Linked DNA regions of Rattus norvegicus. The protein of the gene in region 4 binds, or shares a complex with, the protein of the main gene of each other region. Links are inferred from orthologs where the notes say so. Each region holds a gene or a part of one and is shown on either strand. Other genes may lie near its edges. The genes, in order: Pde6g, Unc119, Rho and Gnat1.

What was found.
Region 1: the proteins of Gnat1 (region 4) and Pde6g are in contact, whole or in part, in a cryo-EM structure (PDB 7JSN), measured with the Bos taurus proteins. The link is inferred for Rattus norvegicus from reciprocal best matches to the Homo sapiens genes GNAT1 and PDE6G. Residues at the interface, in NP_851365.1 of Bos taurus: Ser140, Arg201, Arg204, Lys205, Trp207, Ile208, Phe211, Asp227, Val229, Glu235, Val236, Asn237, His240, Glu241, His244, Leu245, Ser248, Ile249, Ile281, Phe283, Glu305, Leu306, Met308; in NP_776846.1 of Bos taurus: Arg36, Gln37, Phe38, Lys39, Ser40, Lys41, Pro42, Pro43, Lys45, Leu60, Val66, Ile67, Cys68, Pro69, Trp70, Glu71, Phe73, Asn74, His75, Leu76, Glu77, Leu78.
Region 2: the proteins of Gnat1 (region 4) and Unc119 are in contact, whole or in part, in a crystal structure (PDB 3RBQ), measured with the Homo sapiens proteins. The link is inferred for Rattus norvegicus from reciprocal best matches to the Homo sapiens genes GNAT1 and UNC119. Residues at the interface, in NP_000163.2 of Homo sapiens: Gly2, Ala3, Gly4, Ala5, Ser6, Ala7, Glu8; in NP_005139.1 of Homo sapiens: Asp87, Phe88, Val89, Arg90, Phe91, Ile105, Lys106, Lys107, Gly126, Arg127, Phe128, Val129, Tyr131, Phe137, Val147, Glu163, Leu172, Ser218, Tyr220, Asn230.
Region 3: the proteins of Gnat1 (region 4) and Rho are in contact, whole or in part, in a cryo-EM structure (PDB 6OYA), measured with the Bos taurus proteins. The link is inferred for Rattus norvegicus from reciprocal best matches to the Homo sapiens genes GNAT1 and RHO. Residues at the interface, in NP_851365.1 of Bos taurus: Ala27, Arg28, Asp189, Leu190, Val312, Glu314, Tyr316, Asp333, Ala334, Asp337, Ile340, Lys341, Asn343, Leu344, Lys345, Asp346, Cys347, Gly348, Leu349, Phe350; in NP_001014890.1 of Bos taurus: Leu72, Arg135, Val138, Val139, Lys141, Ser144, Asn145, Phe146, Arg147, Val230, Ala233, Gln236, Gln237, Ser240, Thr242, Thr243, Lys245, Ala246, Glu249, Val250, Met253, Met257, Asn310, Lys311, Gln312.

What each region holds. Positions count from the first base shown.
Region 1 is NC_086028.1:106,221,674-106,226,028, reverse strand, and holds the start of Pde6g (retinal rod rhodopsin-sensitive cGMP 3',5'-cyclic phosphodiesterase subunit gamma), read left to right. Parts: upstream 1-1,532; 5' UTR 1,533-1,573; intron 1,574-1,759; exon of another isoform or gene 1,760-1,825; intron 1,826-3,857; 5' UTR 3,858-3,933; coding exon 3,934-4,079; intron 4,080-4,355.
Region 2 is NC_086028.1:63,734,772-63,738,851, reverse strand, and holds the start of Unc119 (protein unc-119 homolog A), read right to left. Parts: upstream 2,854-4,080; 5' UTR 2,820-2,853; coding exon 2,600-2,819; intron 2,483-2,599; exon of another isoform or gene 1,659-2,482; coding exon of another isoform or gene 1,652-1,658; intron 1-1,651. UniProt on the Homo sapiens protein: Involved in synaptic functions in photoreceptor cells, the signal transduction in immune cells as a Src family kinase activator, endosome recycling, the uptake of bacteria and endocytosis, protein trafficking in sensory neurons and as lipid-binding chaperone with specificity for a diverse subset of myristoylated proteins.
Region 3 is NC_086022.1:150,656,170-150,658,891, forward strand, and holds the end of Rho (rhodopsin), read left to right. Parts: intron 1-269; coding exon 270-435; intron 436-534; coding exon 535-774; intron 775-1,724; coding exon 1,725-1,835; 3' UTR 1,836-2,198; downstream 2,199-2,722. UniProt on the Homo sapiens protein: Photoreceptor required for image-forming vision at low light intensity. Required for photoreceptor cell viability after birth.
Region 4 is NC_086026.1:117,231,485-117,235,808, reverse strand, and holds the start of Gnat1 (guanine nucleotide-binding protein G(t) subunit alpha-1), read left to right. Parts: upstream 1-1,497; 5' UTR 1,498-1,557; coding exon 1,558-1,663; exon of another isoform or gene 1,664-2,331; intron 2,332-2,993; coding exon 2,994-3,036; intron 3,037-3,148; coding exon 3,149-3,290; intron 3,291-3,382; coding exon 3,383-3,540; intron 3,541-3,545; exon of another isoform or gene 3,546-3,647; coding exon 3,648-3,776; exon of another isoform or gene 3,777-3,989; coding exon 3,990-4,119; exon of another isoform or gene 4,120-4,283; coding exon 4,284-4,324. UniProt on the Homo sapiens protein: Functions as a signal transducer for the rod photoreceptor RHO. Required for normal RHO-mediated light perception by the retina.

The DNA.
Region 1 (4,355 bases), on a different chromosome or scaffold from region 4:
TGTCAATTTAATCCCCAATTTAATCACCAAGCATCTGCAAAGCGCCCCACGGTGGCCAAGACACCAGCAGTATAATATGCCTGCTATACCACTTCCGTGTAGAAGACAAAGGTTAAGACAAGAATATTGCAGAGCTGGCTGTGTTGGCAAGGAGTTCAAGACCATCCTTAGCTTATGATTTGAGGCCAGCCTGGGACTACATTGTAGGTTGATACAATTATGCAGGTGAGGGCAGACAAGATAAAATGAGGCCTGTCATTGGATGAGAAGGAAGGGAGGTGGGAACAGAGGTTTTAGAAGGAGCTGGGACAGGGGTTGGGGATTTATCTCAGTGGTAGAGTGCTTGCCTAGGAAGCGCAAGGCCCTGGGTTCGGTCCCCAGCTCCGAAAAAAGAACCAAAAAAAAAAAAAAAAGAAGGAGCTGGGAGAACATGGCAGCCGATGTTAAGATTCTTCTCTGCACATAGATACAGGTTGTAATGAATATTTTTAAGGGATGGGTGTGTACAGGATTTTATGCTGTCTAGATGGGCAAATTCTATCTTATCAATTGGATCAGAGGTTATTGTGTGGTGTGTTAGTTCATGTGGCGACTTAATTGGGTTCAAGAGAAGGTGCGGTGGCAGGGCACACAGAACCCACAGCGGAATTGGGATGTGTATGCCGGCGTGGTAACAACTCGCCAAGGGAACTGTGAATGAAAGCAAAACAGCTGGAACAACTTTTGGACCATCCACCCGGCTCACAGAGTACCATGGGGGCCAGCATGGAGCTGCTGAGATAAATTAGCGCTAGTTCCTATGGCCAGCCAGAATCCAAACTAGGGAGAGGGCGACCGCCCAGGTACTTGCAGGAACCGGTCGCACCATCATTTTCTTTTTTACCATAAGACCATGTCTTTAAAAAGAAATAGAAAAAAAAACAAAACCAAAAACCCAATTCTATCGAAGCTTTGTATGAATGAGTTTGAAGAAGCTGATCTGATAGGTGTCTTAGCCTGCTTGCGGGTGTGACCCTAAGACACTACAGCAGAGCCCAAGAGGCCCCAGAGAAAGAAGCTAGAGGAACAGGCACAGGAAATGGGCAATCCAGAGTATCAAATGCACAGCAGTTGAAACCCAAGAGGCAGGGCTTAAAGGCAAGGGGAAAACATGGATAGAGGCTGCTACCCAGAGCATTGAAGTCCATCAGTGGATTCCTCAGTGGGTGGGACAAAGCAAGGGATAACCCCAGCGCAGGACGGTCTGGAAGGTGGCCCAGCTGTTTCTGGAGGCCATGTACATGTGAGGCATAGCCTCACAACCAGTGAAAGCCATATTTCTCCTTTTCTTCCCTACCTACCGGACTTGAGTGTCCTTCCTTCAGACCTCTGGCTGCCTGAACCTCTTGTGCCCAACACCAGCATCCTGGGCAGTGGTGTCTCCCTCAGGGCCCAGCAATCTGATTAGTGTAATGTCAGAGAAGAGAGTCATAATCCGCTCACCAGGAGAAGGATAAATTCCTAGGCCAGTGCTCTGCTGATCCAGATCCAGACGACTGGCACCTGTGGCTCCCTGAGATCTGTCCAACGCTTGGTGAGTATAACCTGTCCTGGTGTCCTTTCTGACTGCTAGGCATCAACTCATTCACCCTAGGTTGGGGGAAGCTAACAGGCGTCTACCACCTCTGCTGAGCTCTTGAGTTTTTAGGAGCCTGACCTGTTCCCTTGACCTTTAGCAAGGACATCCTACCAATGGATCATCTGCTCTGCTTTTCCACAGTGCCAAACGGTAGTTCCTCTGTTATCAAGGCAACCTGACCGTACAACTGAATGGCACCAGCTTTAGGTTAGTCCCGGCTAGGCATCTCAAACGCGGTTTCCATGGAGACAGCACTGATCACTGGAGCTGTCAGGGAACAGCTGCCCATAGGGGTTCCAGGCCTTTGGAGAAGTATTTTACCACTGGGAAGTAAGGATGGGTGCCCCAGGGACTGAGCAGCCTGGTCTCCTATGTTCCTGAGTCCTGTTCCGAGGCTGGTACTGGCTTCAGGCACAGAGGCCGAATCTAGGAATGACAGAGGGGAGTGACTAGGCTGAGAGGGGTGTTGTCTACAACAGATATATGCTTCTCTGTCAGCCCTCATGCTCCAGCAAACCACGGTCTAAAACCAGTGGCTTAAGACTGGACAATGCTATACCTCATCAGACTGAGGGCAGTCCCTTGGGGCTGGGGATTTAGCTCAGTGGTAGAGCGCTTACCTAGGAAGCGCAAGGCCCTGGGTTCGGTCCCCAGCTCCGAAAAAAAGAACCAAAAAAAAAAAAAAAAAAAAAGAGGTAGTCCCTTGGGAAACCCCGTCTGGGTCACCTGTATGGCCTCAGAACATTCAGCAGCATATGAGGTTTATGCTAGAAACCCCGGGAGATTAGGAGTCTCCTTCAGATACTAATAGGATTACAGAAAGCTCTGATGTCAATGGCCAAGGTCACTGGGGCTTAGAGCTTCTGGGGAGCGGTTTGGGGAGAAGAAGAGGGACTATCCTGTCAGAGGCCAGCTCAGCCACACCAGCCCCTGAGGTGACGCCCAACCCAGAATAAGCCCCAATCCAGTGAGCAGCCTCACGTTCTGTGCCCAGGAGGATCCCTGTGTGACCTCTCTCCTTGAGGCCCGATTCCGTCTCAGAGTCATGAAGATGAGAGGTCCTCACATCAGTTGCTCACAGGCAGAGCCCTGCCCCAAGGGCAGCTCTGTGTTCCATTTTGTGGAGGTTTTATCATCACCAAGTCCAACCACAAGAAATAGACAACAAGCCCAACACAACAAGGACATAAATATGAACAAATGTACTTACAGGGGCTGTAAATAGTGCCTTGACTCCCAGCACTCAGGATCTCTGAGTTTGAGACCAGCCTGGTCTACGAGAGAGTTCCAGGACAGCCAGGGCTACACAGAAAGACCCTGCCTCAGGTAGATAGGTAGATAGATAGATAGATAGATAGATAGATAGATAGATAGATAGATAGATAGACAGACAGACAGACAGATAGAAAGTAGATAGATGGGGCTGGAGAGATGATGGCTCAGAGGTTAAAGAGCACCAACTACTCTTTCAGAGGTCCTGAGTTCAAATCCCGGCAACCACATGGTGGCTCAAAACCATCTGTAATGGGATCTGATGCCTTCTTCTGGTGTGTCTGAAGACAGCTACAGTATAGTTATAATATATATAATAAATAAATCTTTAAAGAAAGACAAAAAAGAAAGTAGTAAGTAGATAGATGATAGATAGATAGATAGATAGATAGATAGATAGATAATTTGCCAGGATATGGCATGAAGAAATAAATACAGAACAACATGAGGTAGAGGAGGCCTTCCTTTCCTGAGAAAGGTCCTGGAACTAGTGAGAGCAGTCTGTGGCTGACCACCCGGAAGGGAAGGCAAGTGGCTGTGAGGCACAGGGCAGGATCAGGAGGGAATGTCCTTTGTATCAGTCCCAGGCATCTTCAGAAGGCTTTCAACAGAGTGACAAGGCTGGATCAGATTCCAGTGTGTAGGAGGGGGTGGGGAACAAGCAAGGGTGGTCAGTGACTACCTGCAAGGGGTGGGGGGTAGTAAAATGTCCGGGTTTAGGACATATGGAGGGGCCAAAAAGTTGGCTTGATGTGGATTTGGAGTATGGGATAGCTGCAAGGGCTGTATGTGGCTGCTAGCAATGGGAGGTGTCTGAGGGTACCAGGCAGAAGGAGTGAAGAAGGATTGGTGGAGGTGGGAAGGTGGTTCTCTGGAGCGGGACAGCTCCTGGGTGTCAGCCCTCTCTGCTCCCAAAGTTGTTAGCGTGAGCAAGGGAGCTAACGGGGATCTGTCTGGTCTTCCCTAGCCTGCATGAGGAGTCCAGTCCAGCCTGACAGAGTCCAGAAGCTAAGGGTCACTGCAGTGTCTCTGCCGGCCTCATCATGAACCTGGAGCCACCCAAGAGTGAGATTCGGTCAGCCACACGGGTGATGGGAGGGCCGGTCACCCCCAGGAAAGGACCACCTAAATTTAAGCAGCGGCAAACAAGGCAGTTCAAGAGCAAGCCCCCCAAGAAAGGCGTGCAAGGGTAAGCAAGCATCAGAAGGGAGTCTCTCGTAGAAAGAGCACTCTTCTTGGGCTGCAGCCTCTCACAGAACGAGAACACTGCCCGGGCTGTATGGGAGGACAAGGTGGAGGCTGGGGTGGGGCTCTTTGAGTGTGTCCTCATTCTTATGACTGGGCCCTCAGGAGTGCTGGGGGCACCAAGGGCCTATCATTGACTCCAGGTGCTGCAGCCAGGCAGATCTGGGAAACAGACTCCCTCCTAGGGTATATGTGTGCACCCCCAGCACTTTCTCCTATG
Region 2 (4,080 bases), on a different chromosome or scaffold from region 4:
GAACCCTTAGAGGTCATCTTTCCAGCCCTGGCCCTGAGCCAACCTCAGGAATAAAGTGCTCTCTGGTTTAGAGAAAAGAACACAGAAAGGATGCGGTGGGCACAGCAGGTGCCACAGGGATGAGGCAAGGAGAGTCCTGGGCTCAGAAGGAAGCCAGGAGAGCTAAGCGTTGCCTAAGGGAGTTAGTTCATGGTCTAACCCTTACCACTCTTTTGTCACCGTTTTTTTTTTAAGCCAGGGTTCCATGTCGCCTAGCTAACCTCAAACTCACTACTCGGCAGATGCTGGCCTTGAACTCCCGGTCTTCCTGCTTCATAAAACTTACACCAAGTCCTAGGGGGAGGCCCTGGCAAGAAGTAGGAAGGTACAGAAGAAGGCTGTGGAGGCTTGGGTGCTGCCAGCCTCCACTGTGTACCACATCCTCCCCGCTGACCTTCAGAGGCCCGGAAGTCACCCTCCAGGCCCCTGGGCCACCCCCTATTCCTCTGTGGTTGAAAAAGGAAGTGAATATAAAGCCATTTTCTCTTCCTTAGGCCTGTCTCCTCCTCAAGCCAGGGGGGGAGCCCCCTCCAGGAAGCCCTCCTGACAGCGCCTCTAGCACCTTGGAGCTGAGGTCTGAGATAAAGCTATAAAAAGACGCTGCAGAGCAAAAGGAGAAGAGGGGGCAGAATTGGAAGCAGGATCCTAGTCGTCCAACTCCCAGGAAAAGCTGCCTTTCTCACTGCAGGCCCAGCCTAGGACCCTCTCCTCTCACCCGGAACAACCTCTCACACTCAGTCTCTTACACTGCAAACTCAACTTGTGGGACTCTCTGTCCTTACAAGGAGCGAGGATCAGGGGCTGCCTAGGAAGGCAGCCACTTCCTCTCCTCAGCCAAGAAAAACCAGGCCCAGGACCCAAGGTCAGGCCAGAGTAGTTGAGCAGCGGTGGCTCAGAACCCACCTGGTCTCTTCCTTGAAGCCACAAATAGCTTCCTAAGCTGGATTCAGGGCCTGGTAATCCAGGAACAGCAAACCTCAGACCTATGTGATTAGGGTCACAAGATGGCAGGCAAGGTGGAGGAGAGGCTTGGAACCCTGTTTTCAAATGCTGCACAGCACAGGGCTCTCAAGAGGCACTTGTCTTTGCTCATCCTCTGTAGGCTATGAATTCCCTCCAGGTTGGGAGACACTGTGACTTCACCTGGAAGCTTCCTTCGTTGCAAAATAAGCCTCCAGTTATCCAGGACTGGGACAAGTGAGCCTGCCCTCCACCCACAGGGCTAAGCTAAGCTAAGCTGTAAGGGCTGCTATTACAAAATGCAGCCCACTGGCTTCAACATCAGCCTGGTCGAGGCCCCTCCCTCCCTCCCTCCACTGATGCCTGCTTGGCCAAGGGAGCAAGTGCTCTGGAGGTCTAGCCAAGAATGCTGCTGCCTAGCCCTGGAAGGAGGAGGGAGGCCCCCAGGGACCCAGATGTACAGGCCTGTCATCCTGGTCCCCTCCACAGCTATCTGGGAGCCCTGGCCTCTGTTGCTCCTGGGGCTAGAGAGGGTTTACTTCCACACTAGCACCCATGTCCATCCCATTAGAAAGGGAACACAAACGGAGCCAGAGCAGGTTGCCGGTGACCCATCCATTCCAAGGCAACGTGTCACTGTCTCTTCAAATACCTTCCATTCTTCAAGGCTCAGCCAACCTCTCGCCAGAAGACTCTCTAGTTGTTCACTGTGGTAATGCCTGCCTTTGCCCTGAATGCTCACTTATCTGCCTGCAGGCAGCCACTCTGAACAGTCCTGTGTGGCTTCCAACGCTGCTGATAAAGGAGCTGACAGCATGCATAGCATGCCAAGCATTGTCCAAAATCAGAAGACTGGCTCTATTTTCATAATAACCTTGAGGGAGGTAACATTGTTCGTGTTCCCATTTTACAGATGAAAAGGAAACATGCTCCTGCAAATGAAATTGCATCCCCAAGGTCACACAGCCAATTACAGGGCAAACTCTGGGACTCTGAAAACTCAGCTCTAGTGGAGACTAGGCTTCCCTTGATGAGAGAGCCCCAGAAAAAGAACAAGTCCTGGCTTGGGGGGCACACACTTGTTTCCATGACACGGCCCACAGCTAACATAGGGAAGCACACTCTCTGATCAATAACGTTCCTGGGCAGAGTATGGCCTCAGCCCTCATTGGGGAAACAGGGCAATAACGGTCAGGGAGCCTGTGGGTTTTCCTTGCCTCCACCTAGCCTGAGGTGGCCACTTTAGACAGACTGCAACGAGGCACACTCCTCTGTGCGAGCAGCCTCAAAGGGTTCCGAAGACTCCACAGGGGAAAGGGTTACAGATGCAGCTGCTGCCCCACCTCCACCATGGGAAAAGGGGTGGGCCCCTTGAAAAAGAAGGAGTGGGGTGAAAAGAAGCCACTACAAGGAGAGTAGGGGCGCAAGGGAAAGAGCGTGGAGATTTCAGACTTGGAGGCAGGGAGAGAGAGAGAGAGTAAGGGGACACAGAGGAGGGGCATTGCGTGGGGGAGGGGTGGGGGCCGGACTCTGAGCCTCGTGGGCCCCCTCCCGCGCTCTCCCTCCAGCCCGCGGGTGGCGCTCCCTCGCCGGTGCTCACCGCCGGTGATCCGCTGCAGCCCCAGCACGTCCTCCGGCCCGATGGGCTGCTTGCCCTGCAGCGGCCCCAGTCTGGGCCCCGGGCCTGGCTCCGGCTCCGACTCGGACCCGGACTCGGCTTCCGCCCCAGGCTCCCGCGTGGGCTCCACGCTCCGGTTCGAGGCCCCAGGAACGGGCTCCGCCCCCGGTCCGGTCCCGCCGCCGCCCTTCTTCACCTTCATGGCCTCGCGGGGCCGCAGATCCTCGCCCGCTGCCACCGCCGCCGCTGCTTGCGCCGGCTGGAGCCAGGGGAAGGGGGAGCGTCCGCCGCCCCACCCCCGGCCGGGCCCCAGGTGCCGTCCCGCCTTGGTCACGCCCACAGGAGGCGGGTCACACATGCCCCGCCCACCGTCTGGCTTTTCCAGCGGTGGAGCCAGAATCCTGGGGGTCCTTGTGAACTTTTTGACAATGTAGATACGGAATACCTCTCCTCTTTCTCTCTGGGTTCCAGCCGCAAGGTCTTTCCCTGATAGCGTTACCCTGCCTTCAGCCCAAGTCTTAACCTCCCACCCCCACCCAGTTCTAAAGTACTTCCCCTCAATTTCCAGCTAACCAGCCTGTTTTTGGTTTTCTTGTTTGTTTGTTTGTTTGTTTGTTTGTTTGTTTTGGGGTAATGCATTAAATGAAATTATTTGTTTGTTCCCTGACCCTTCCTACACTCTGTTCCTCATAACACCCAGCACTAGCACACTGCTTCTTGTAGCCAGTCCCCAGTACTTTCCTCCGTTGAACTGAGTTACTATCCCAGGGCTGTCACTGGCTCAAGCTACTCCCCACTAGAACTCTGGCTAAATAGCTGATTCTGGCACCCAATAGGCAGGCACCATAGCCCAGGTGTCGAGCCATCCAGGCTGCTCAGGACAGTGAGGCAGGAAGAACATAGCCAGGTCGGGCATGGGGGACCTGTGAGCTAGAGCAGAACCGTCTGCTTCTCACACAAGGACGAGTCATACATCAACTCATATTCAACCAATGTTTATTGATGGCCTAATGTATATTTCTAAAGAGCCCAATATACAGAACACTTTTACACACTTATTACATTTAATCCAACCCCCTTCTGAGGGTGACATCATAGTGCTTTCTCACAGAGGAAAACCTGAGGCTCAGTGAGGAGCAGCTTATCAAGCACTCTCCAGTCCGTTAAGTGCAGAAGCCGGAATCTGATTCAGGCCTGTTGGGTTCCAAGTCAGAAATGTTTTCTCCTGTTCCACACTACCTCTGAAACGGTAGAGGGGAACCTTAGCCACAGGCAGAAGAAGCAGGTCCTAAGCCACTGCCTCCTAAACCAGGCTGTCCCCAATGGTGACACCAATCAGGAAGCTGAGGAAGGAGGGAGACGGTCTCAGAAGTGGAGAGGATGGGGCTACAATTCAACCCAAGGATTCCCCTAAATTCACCTCTCTGCATAAGTATGCAGTGCTGACAGACTGGAAGGACAAG
Region 3 (2,722 bases), on a different chromosome or scaffold from region 4:
ATTCACAGGGAAGGCCTCAGCTCCCCTCCCCAGCATCCTCTGCCTACTCATGTAACCACCAAAGGGCAGCAGGCTGGAGAGGAGAGCTGTGTGACTAAGTGACAGGGAGCTTGAGAGTTGTCTGAGGGCAGAGAAGCTAAGTCTCACCTGGCGATGGGGCCAGCAGGTAATAACCATGCTTCCCTAGGCCCACAGAAACTGTAGCCTCCAGGAACCCCACACTTATGTCCGGCTGGGCATGTGTTTTCTCCCTGCTTTATCACCCTTAGGTACATCCCCGAGGGCATGCAGTGTTCATGTGGGATTGACTACTATACACTCAAGCCTGAGGTCAACAATGAGTCCTTCGTCATCTACATGTTCGTGGTCCACTTCACCATCCCCATGATCGTCATCTTCTTCTGCTACGGGCAGCTGGTCTTCACCGTCAAGGAGGCATGAGTGGGGCCACCCTGGGGCTGGGTGGCCAGAGCCGGGTGGGTGCCAGGGTTTGCATGGACCCCTCGGGCTAGACACAGGTCTGTCCCCCTGCAGGCCGCCGCCCAGCAACAGGAGTCGGCTACCACTCAGAAGGCAGAGAAGGAAGTCACGCGCATGGTCATCATCATGGTCATCTTCTTCCTGATCTGCTGGCTTCCCTATGCCAGTGTGGCCATGTACATCTTTACCCACCAGGGCTCCAACTTCGGCCCCATCTTCATGACCCTTCCCGCTTTCTTTGCTAAGACCGCCTCCATCTACAACCCAATCATCTACATCATGATGAACAAGCAGGTGCTGCCTGGGTCGAGGCAGGGCTTGTGGAGAGGGAGGGAGAGAATGGAAGGGGAGGGGAGGGCAGGGAAGGCGGTCCACTCAGACTGCTGTCAGGCCATGATCTCTCAGGCTGGTGATCCCCCCGTCTCATGGAGTAAGTCCTCTGGGTGACCTGCCATCCTGTCCTGTGAGATACACCTGACCAGATGGTTCTGGAAGTCAGCTTTAGAAGTCAGCTAGAAGCCAGGTGCAATCGCCCATGTTTGTAATCTTAATCCTGAGGCAGTAGGATCTTGAGCTCCAGGTCAGCCTGGGCTAGATAGTGGATGTGTGTCCCCCTCGCCCAAAGCAGGCTGTGAGCATACTGCTGTATCTCCGTGCTCAGGATGCTGAAGTGGGCAGATTAGAAATTCAAAGCTATCTTTGGCAATACAGTGATTTGGGGGCCAACCTGGGCTACATGACAGTCTGTCTTAAGAAGTAACCAGGAAATGTCAGGTAGTTCCAAGGCTGGGAATAGAATGGTCTCACTGTAAAGCTGTAGAAATTGCTAGTTCTGGGAAGAACGGGATTAAGCCGCTGTTAAAAGTCACAGTTTCCCTGCAGAAAAGGATGTGGTCTCTAGACCTAGACTCTGGGTTCCAGTTCTAGTTTTGCCACATGCAGGCTGTGTGACCTTGGGTAAGTCAGATCTGGGCTTCAGTTTCCCTGTTTATTTATAGGAAATAAATCACAAATCACAAATTCTCAAATTAGATAAGATCACAAGGTCCTACTCATCCACAGGACACATGGGATGTCATTTGACAACCCCCTCGTGCTGTGTTCCTGGCATCTCTGGTTGAAGGGCAACATACATTTAGCACGCTCCCCCAGGGAGCCAGGCTTAGGGAGGGGACTTGCTGGAGGTGGGGTTGAGGGAGTGGAGTGGTAGGGCCCTGTCCTGACTGGTGCCTCTTGTCTTCCAGTTCCGGAACTGCATGCTCACCACGCTCTGCTGCGGCAAGAATCCACTGGGAGATGATGAGGCCTCTGCCACTGCCTCCAAGACGGAGACCAGCCAGGTGGCTCCAGCCTAAGCCTGGCCAGAGACTGTGGCTGACTGTAGGAGTCTCCTGTCCCCACTCACCCCAGCCACAGCCCCCACCAGGAGCAGCACCCGTTGGAATGAGGTCATGCAGGCTCCCTCAGTGTTCTTTTCTTTGTTTTTAATGAATTCATGAAAGCAAAATGAGGCTCCCCACTCAACAGGGACAGCCTGACAAAGGACATCCATCCACCAAGACCCCCAGCCTGGAGTCCCCAATTCCCGGGGGCCAGCGGGATCTGTACCCCTCCCCTCAGCTTGTGTCTCAGGAACATGACAAGTGTCCCGGCTTACGGCTAAGTGTCTAGGACAGAATGGAACACATAGTAGCTGATTAATAAATGCTACCTGGATGAAGGGAGGAATGAGTGACTGAATGAGTGGATATATGAGTGAAGGGATTAACAGACGGGAACATGGATGTCCTCAGGTGCCCAACCTGGCAGACCTAGTCATGTTTGACTGGAATCTGTACACTGTTTTACATACCTGCCCTGGTTTTCTCTGCACCCCACCCCCACCCCAGATGGGATCTCCCAAATCCGGGGCCCTGACAGAATGTGGCTGCTTCAAAGACAGATGAAGGGAAGGAGAAAGAAGGAGGAAGGAAGGGAGACACACAGAGAAAATTGTGTGAGTGTGTGAGTGTGTGTGTATGTGTGTGTGCAAACACTTTGTATATAAAGAGCAAAACTGGTAGTTGTGTTACAGGTAACACCAACTAATATAATTAATTAGCCATCTTAATGGTCTCTGCTTATTAGTGACTGCTTGGGAGTTGGGCAGGGCCTAAGCACTCAGATAAGGTATTTCCCCCAGCCTCAGTAGGCTTTTACAAATGAACCAGACCTTCAGGCCTGTGTAGAAATGGAGCTGGAT
Region 4 (4,324 bases):
CCTAGCACCCACCCCCTTGTAGTCTGTCACAGAGTTGAGTCTGGTTTCAGGAAAGGGGTTCTAGACCAGCAGAGGGAGCCCAAGATAAGGTTTCCAACTTTAGAGTCACAAACCGACTTTAGCACCTAGCTGCTCAGCACAGCAGACTCCAGACTTCAACTGCTACCCCTGACCCCTGAGTAAAGGCTGTCAGGTTATAGTGGCACCCTATGTAGCCCCCACATTATGAGTGAGACCCCACTCTTCCGTACTCTGGGGTGCTCCAAGTCTGCAATAGACTTGCCAAAAATACACTGAATCTAGCCACCTCTATAGTGGTCTTTGTTGCACCTAAATGCACATGCACACCCAGACATGTGCATGGGCTGGCACAGACAAGCATGTATGCACACGTAGGGACACAGGTGTGCATCTAAATACTTAGGCAAGTGCACTGTAGTGCGAACACCATAGTTGCCTGTATTTGAACGCTCAGGCACACGTGCACAGCTGTGAATCCACACAAAGCACAGCACAGTGAACACACAAACACCGGTGCCTACACAGAGAAATGCACAAGATGCTGGAGATGCAGCCTGGCAGTGAAGCACATGTGTAGCACGCAGGAATCCCTAGATTTGACCTTCAGCGTGTACACACACAGGGCACCAGTTTACATGCACACATTGCATGCATAGCCATGCAAACAGGTATGTAAGGGCACGTGCACTTAAAAAGCTACTAACAGGTACACATACATGCAGATAACAGGTACACATACATGCAGGTAACAGGTTCACATACATGCGGAATACAGGCCCCAGTGTGTCTACTCATTACTTCGCTTGATCCTAGTAAGGAACGGAAAGACACACACAGGCCTGTATGTGTAGCAGACTCACCCATCCACCAGCAGAGGACATGTTAGAAGGGTCACATTTAACCCTGAGCGTGAGGCAAACAGAAAGTCACCTATTCCCTCCTGGCTCCTGGGAGGCACAGAACCCTCTGATCTGGAGACACCCCACTCTTCTAAGCCACTGCCAATTATGTGACCCTGTCAGCTGCTCCTAATCAGTAAAATGGGGCTGTGATTTGGGCACCACCTTCCTCCAAGTTCATGTAAGCCTACAGCATAAGGAGTGGTGACCTCAGCTGGGCAAGCAGGAGGTCCTCTGGGCCAGCTTCTCCAGTCTCCTGCCAGCCCTGCTCCCAGTCCCACCACTTCTGTGCTAAAGGGTCTGTTCCCTCAATTCCACCAAATAAATGCATATAGGACGGGGGAAGGACTCTCTAGGATCTCTTCTGGAGAACTGGAGGGGGGTAAAGGGGTGCCAAGTCAGCAGTTGATGGATTGGGGCCTTGCCAGACTGATTAAAAGGCTAGGAGACTGAGCTTCACCTGTCCTTGTCTCTGATTGGCCCTCAGGCAACCCTAACTCTCAAATCCCACTGAGCAATCCCACCAGGGCCTGTGCAGGTCTGTGGAAGCGCCAGTTGACTGCTGGCTTTGGGGCCAGAAGGTTGTCTGAGGAGGCCAGAGGCTGCCTACCCTGTCCCTTTGCCTGCTGCTGGGACCATGGGGGCTGGGGCCAGCGCTGAGGAGAAGCACTCCAGAGAGCTGGAAAAGAAGCTGAAAGAAGACGCTGAGAAGGACGCACGGACCGTGAAGCTGCTGCTTCTGGGTAGGGGTGCGGGCCAGTGTTAGAAGGGGACAGCTGTGGGTCAGCGGCCTGGGGCTGGACAAAGAGCCTTTCCTTAAAGCAGGGATTCCTTTGGGGAAGAATGACAGTGTGGTGGGGCAGAGAGCACAGAGCGAGCCATTCCCAGGCAAGGCCTGACAGGTGATGGATGTCCTAGTCCCCCAAGGCGATGTACTTGGGGCAACTTCCTTTTTTTTTTTCTTTTTTTTTTCTTTTTTTCTTTTTTTCGGAGCTGGGGACCGAACCCAGGGCCTTGTGCTTGCTAGGCAAGCGCTCTACCGCTGAGCTAAATCCCCAACCCCACTTGGGGCAACTTCTTGAGGACACCCTGAAGTGTATACCAAACACACCGTTGTATAAATGTGTGTCTTCAGACACATTTTTGCCCTTGAGCTATAGCCTATGGTTTTCCAGGCCTGCTCAGCTCTTCTTTCTCCCTTGGGAATGAGGTCTGAGAATAACTCTTGGATCACCAGGTCCACAAAGGCACTGGGTGCCAGAGCGTGGTCATCGGTAGACCCGTGAAACAGCTTTAAAAAGTGGAACGATGCCAGGCAGTGGTGGTCTATGCCTTCAGTCCCAGCACTGGGAGGCAGAAACAAGTGAATCTCTGAGTCTGAGGCTAGCTTGGAGTTCCAGAACAGCCATGCCTACACAAAAGAAAAAAAGAACGTGGAAAAATAGTGAAGCCTACATGGGATAAATAAAGCTGATCCCATGATCCCATGGATATTGAGGGGAGATGGGGGGACTGCCATTGCTTAATTCAACAGAAAGTCACTGTTTCAGAAGGACAGGCAGAGGTACTAAGCCAGAGCCCTAGGAGAAAGGCCACGGCTAAGCCGGAAATCCCATTAATTGTATCCAGCACCCTTAAGGAGCTGCAGGCTCAGGAAGGATGTCAGTTCTGTCCTCTCCCCCACCTAAGGATGCTAATTCCCTCTGAGCCTCTCAGAGACACCTCCCTAGGAAAAGCAGAGGCTGCCGGTCCCATTCAGATAATCTTGTGCATGCAGTACTGACCAACTCCACAAGGTGGCACTAGAGGGTTCCTTATTTTGGTCTCAACATAATTAAGACTTTATACATCAGAGTCTTGGGAAACCTCCTTCCCTCTGGGCACAGTTGAGGTCACTCAACAGATGTAGGTCCCCTTTGTCACCTACAACCATTTTCTTCAGCGGTCTTAAAGGCTTTACTTTGACTAGAGATGAGGGCAATTGTATCTAGAGATCTAGTTGGCACCCTAAGGCTCTGATCCAAAAGAAGTGGTGGTTAGTGCGGCTCTGAAGCACCACCTCTTTCCTTTCAGGTGCGGGTGAATCCGGGAAAAGCACTATTGTCAAGCAGATGAAGTGAGTGTTCCCTGTCCATCCTAAGGCCCCTGGTGGTGGGCGGGTACATGCACATTAGAACCTGTCCTTTCCTACCGACCCTGGAGACTGACTTTGCTGGTCTTGGCTGTAGGATTATCCACCAGGACGGGTATTCGCTGGAAGAATGCCTCGAGTTCATCGCCATCATCTATGGCAACACTCTGCAGTCCATCCTGGCCATCGTGAGGGCTATGACCACGCTCAACATTCAGTATGGAGATTCGGCTCGGCAGGTGAGGCTGGAGGCAGGCTGATGTTAGGCTTCGAGGGCTCGTGGCAACTGGCTAGGCTCAGATTCACAACCACTACCTTGCCCTACCCCCAGGACGATGCCCGGAAGCTGATGCACATGGCGGATACTATTGAGGAAGGCACAATGCCCAAGGAGATGTCAGACATCATTCAGCGCCTGTGGAAGGACTCCGGTATCCAAGCTTGCTTTGACCGAGCCTCAGAATACCAACTCAATGACTCTGCTGGCTAGTGAGTACACCAGTGGATGCCAGGGGGCAGAGGGGGTGGGTGGGCAGGACCCTGCTGGTGTGAACACCCACGCCACTCACCCACTCATACTGGGTGGTCTTCTTCAGCTACCTTTCAGACCTAGAGCGTCTGGTGACTCCAGGATACGTGCCCACTGAGCAGGATGTGTTGCGTTCTCGTGTCAAAACCACTGGTATTATCGAGACTCAATTTTCCTTCAAGGACCTCAACTTCAGGTAAGACCCCTGCTCTAAGAGCTCAGCTGGCCTGACCGGAACTTCACTGTCTTGAGTGAAGGTCCTACCTTTGCCAGGAGAAAGGCCGGCCATTTCAGATGCCAAGTGGTATGAGGGCTCTCCAGCCAGCTTAGGATGACAAAAGGGTAACAGTGGGCATATCCAGGTGACCTGATACACCGGTCTAAATCTGGACCTGGCTATGCCTGACAGAATGTTCGATGTGGGCGGGCAGCGTTCTGAGCGCAAAAAGTGGATCCACTGCTTTGAGGGTGTGACGTGCATCATTTTCATCGCTGCGCTGAGCGCTTACGACATGGTGCTGGTGGAGGACGACGAAGTGGTGAGTTGGGCCTGAATGTTTGAGAAGGGAGGTGGAGCCTGGGGGAGCCAGTGAGACTCACGAAAACAGAAGTTGTCTGGGAGCGGTTAGTGTCGGGAGGTCAGGGACCAAGGGACAGCAGCGACCTGTGTAGCCTGGTGCCCAACAGCCGCTCCCCTCCCCAGAACCGAATGCACGAGAGCCTGCACCTGTTCAACAGCATCTG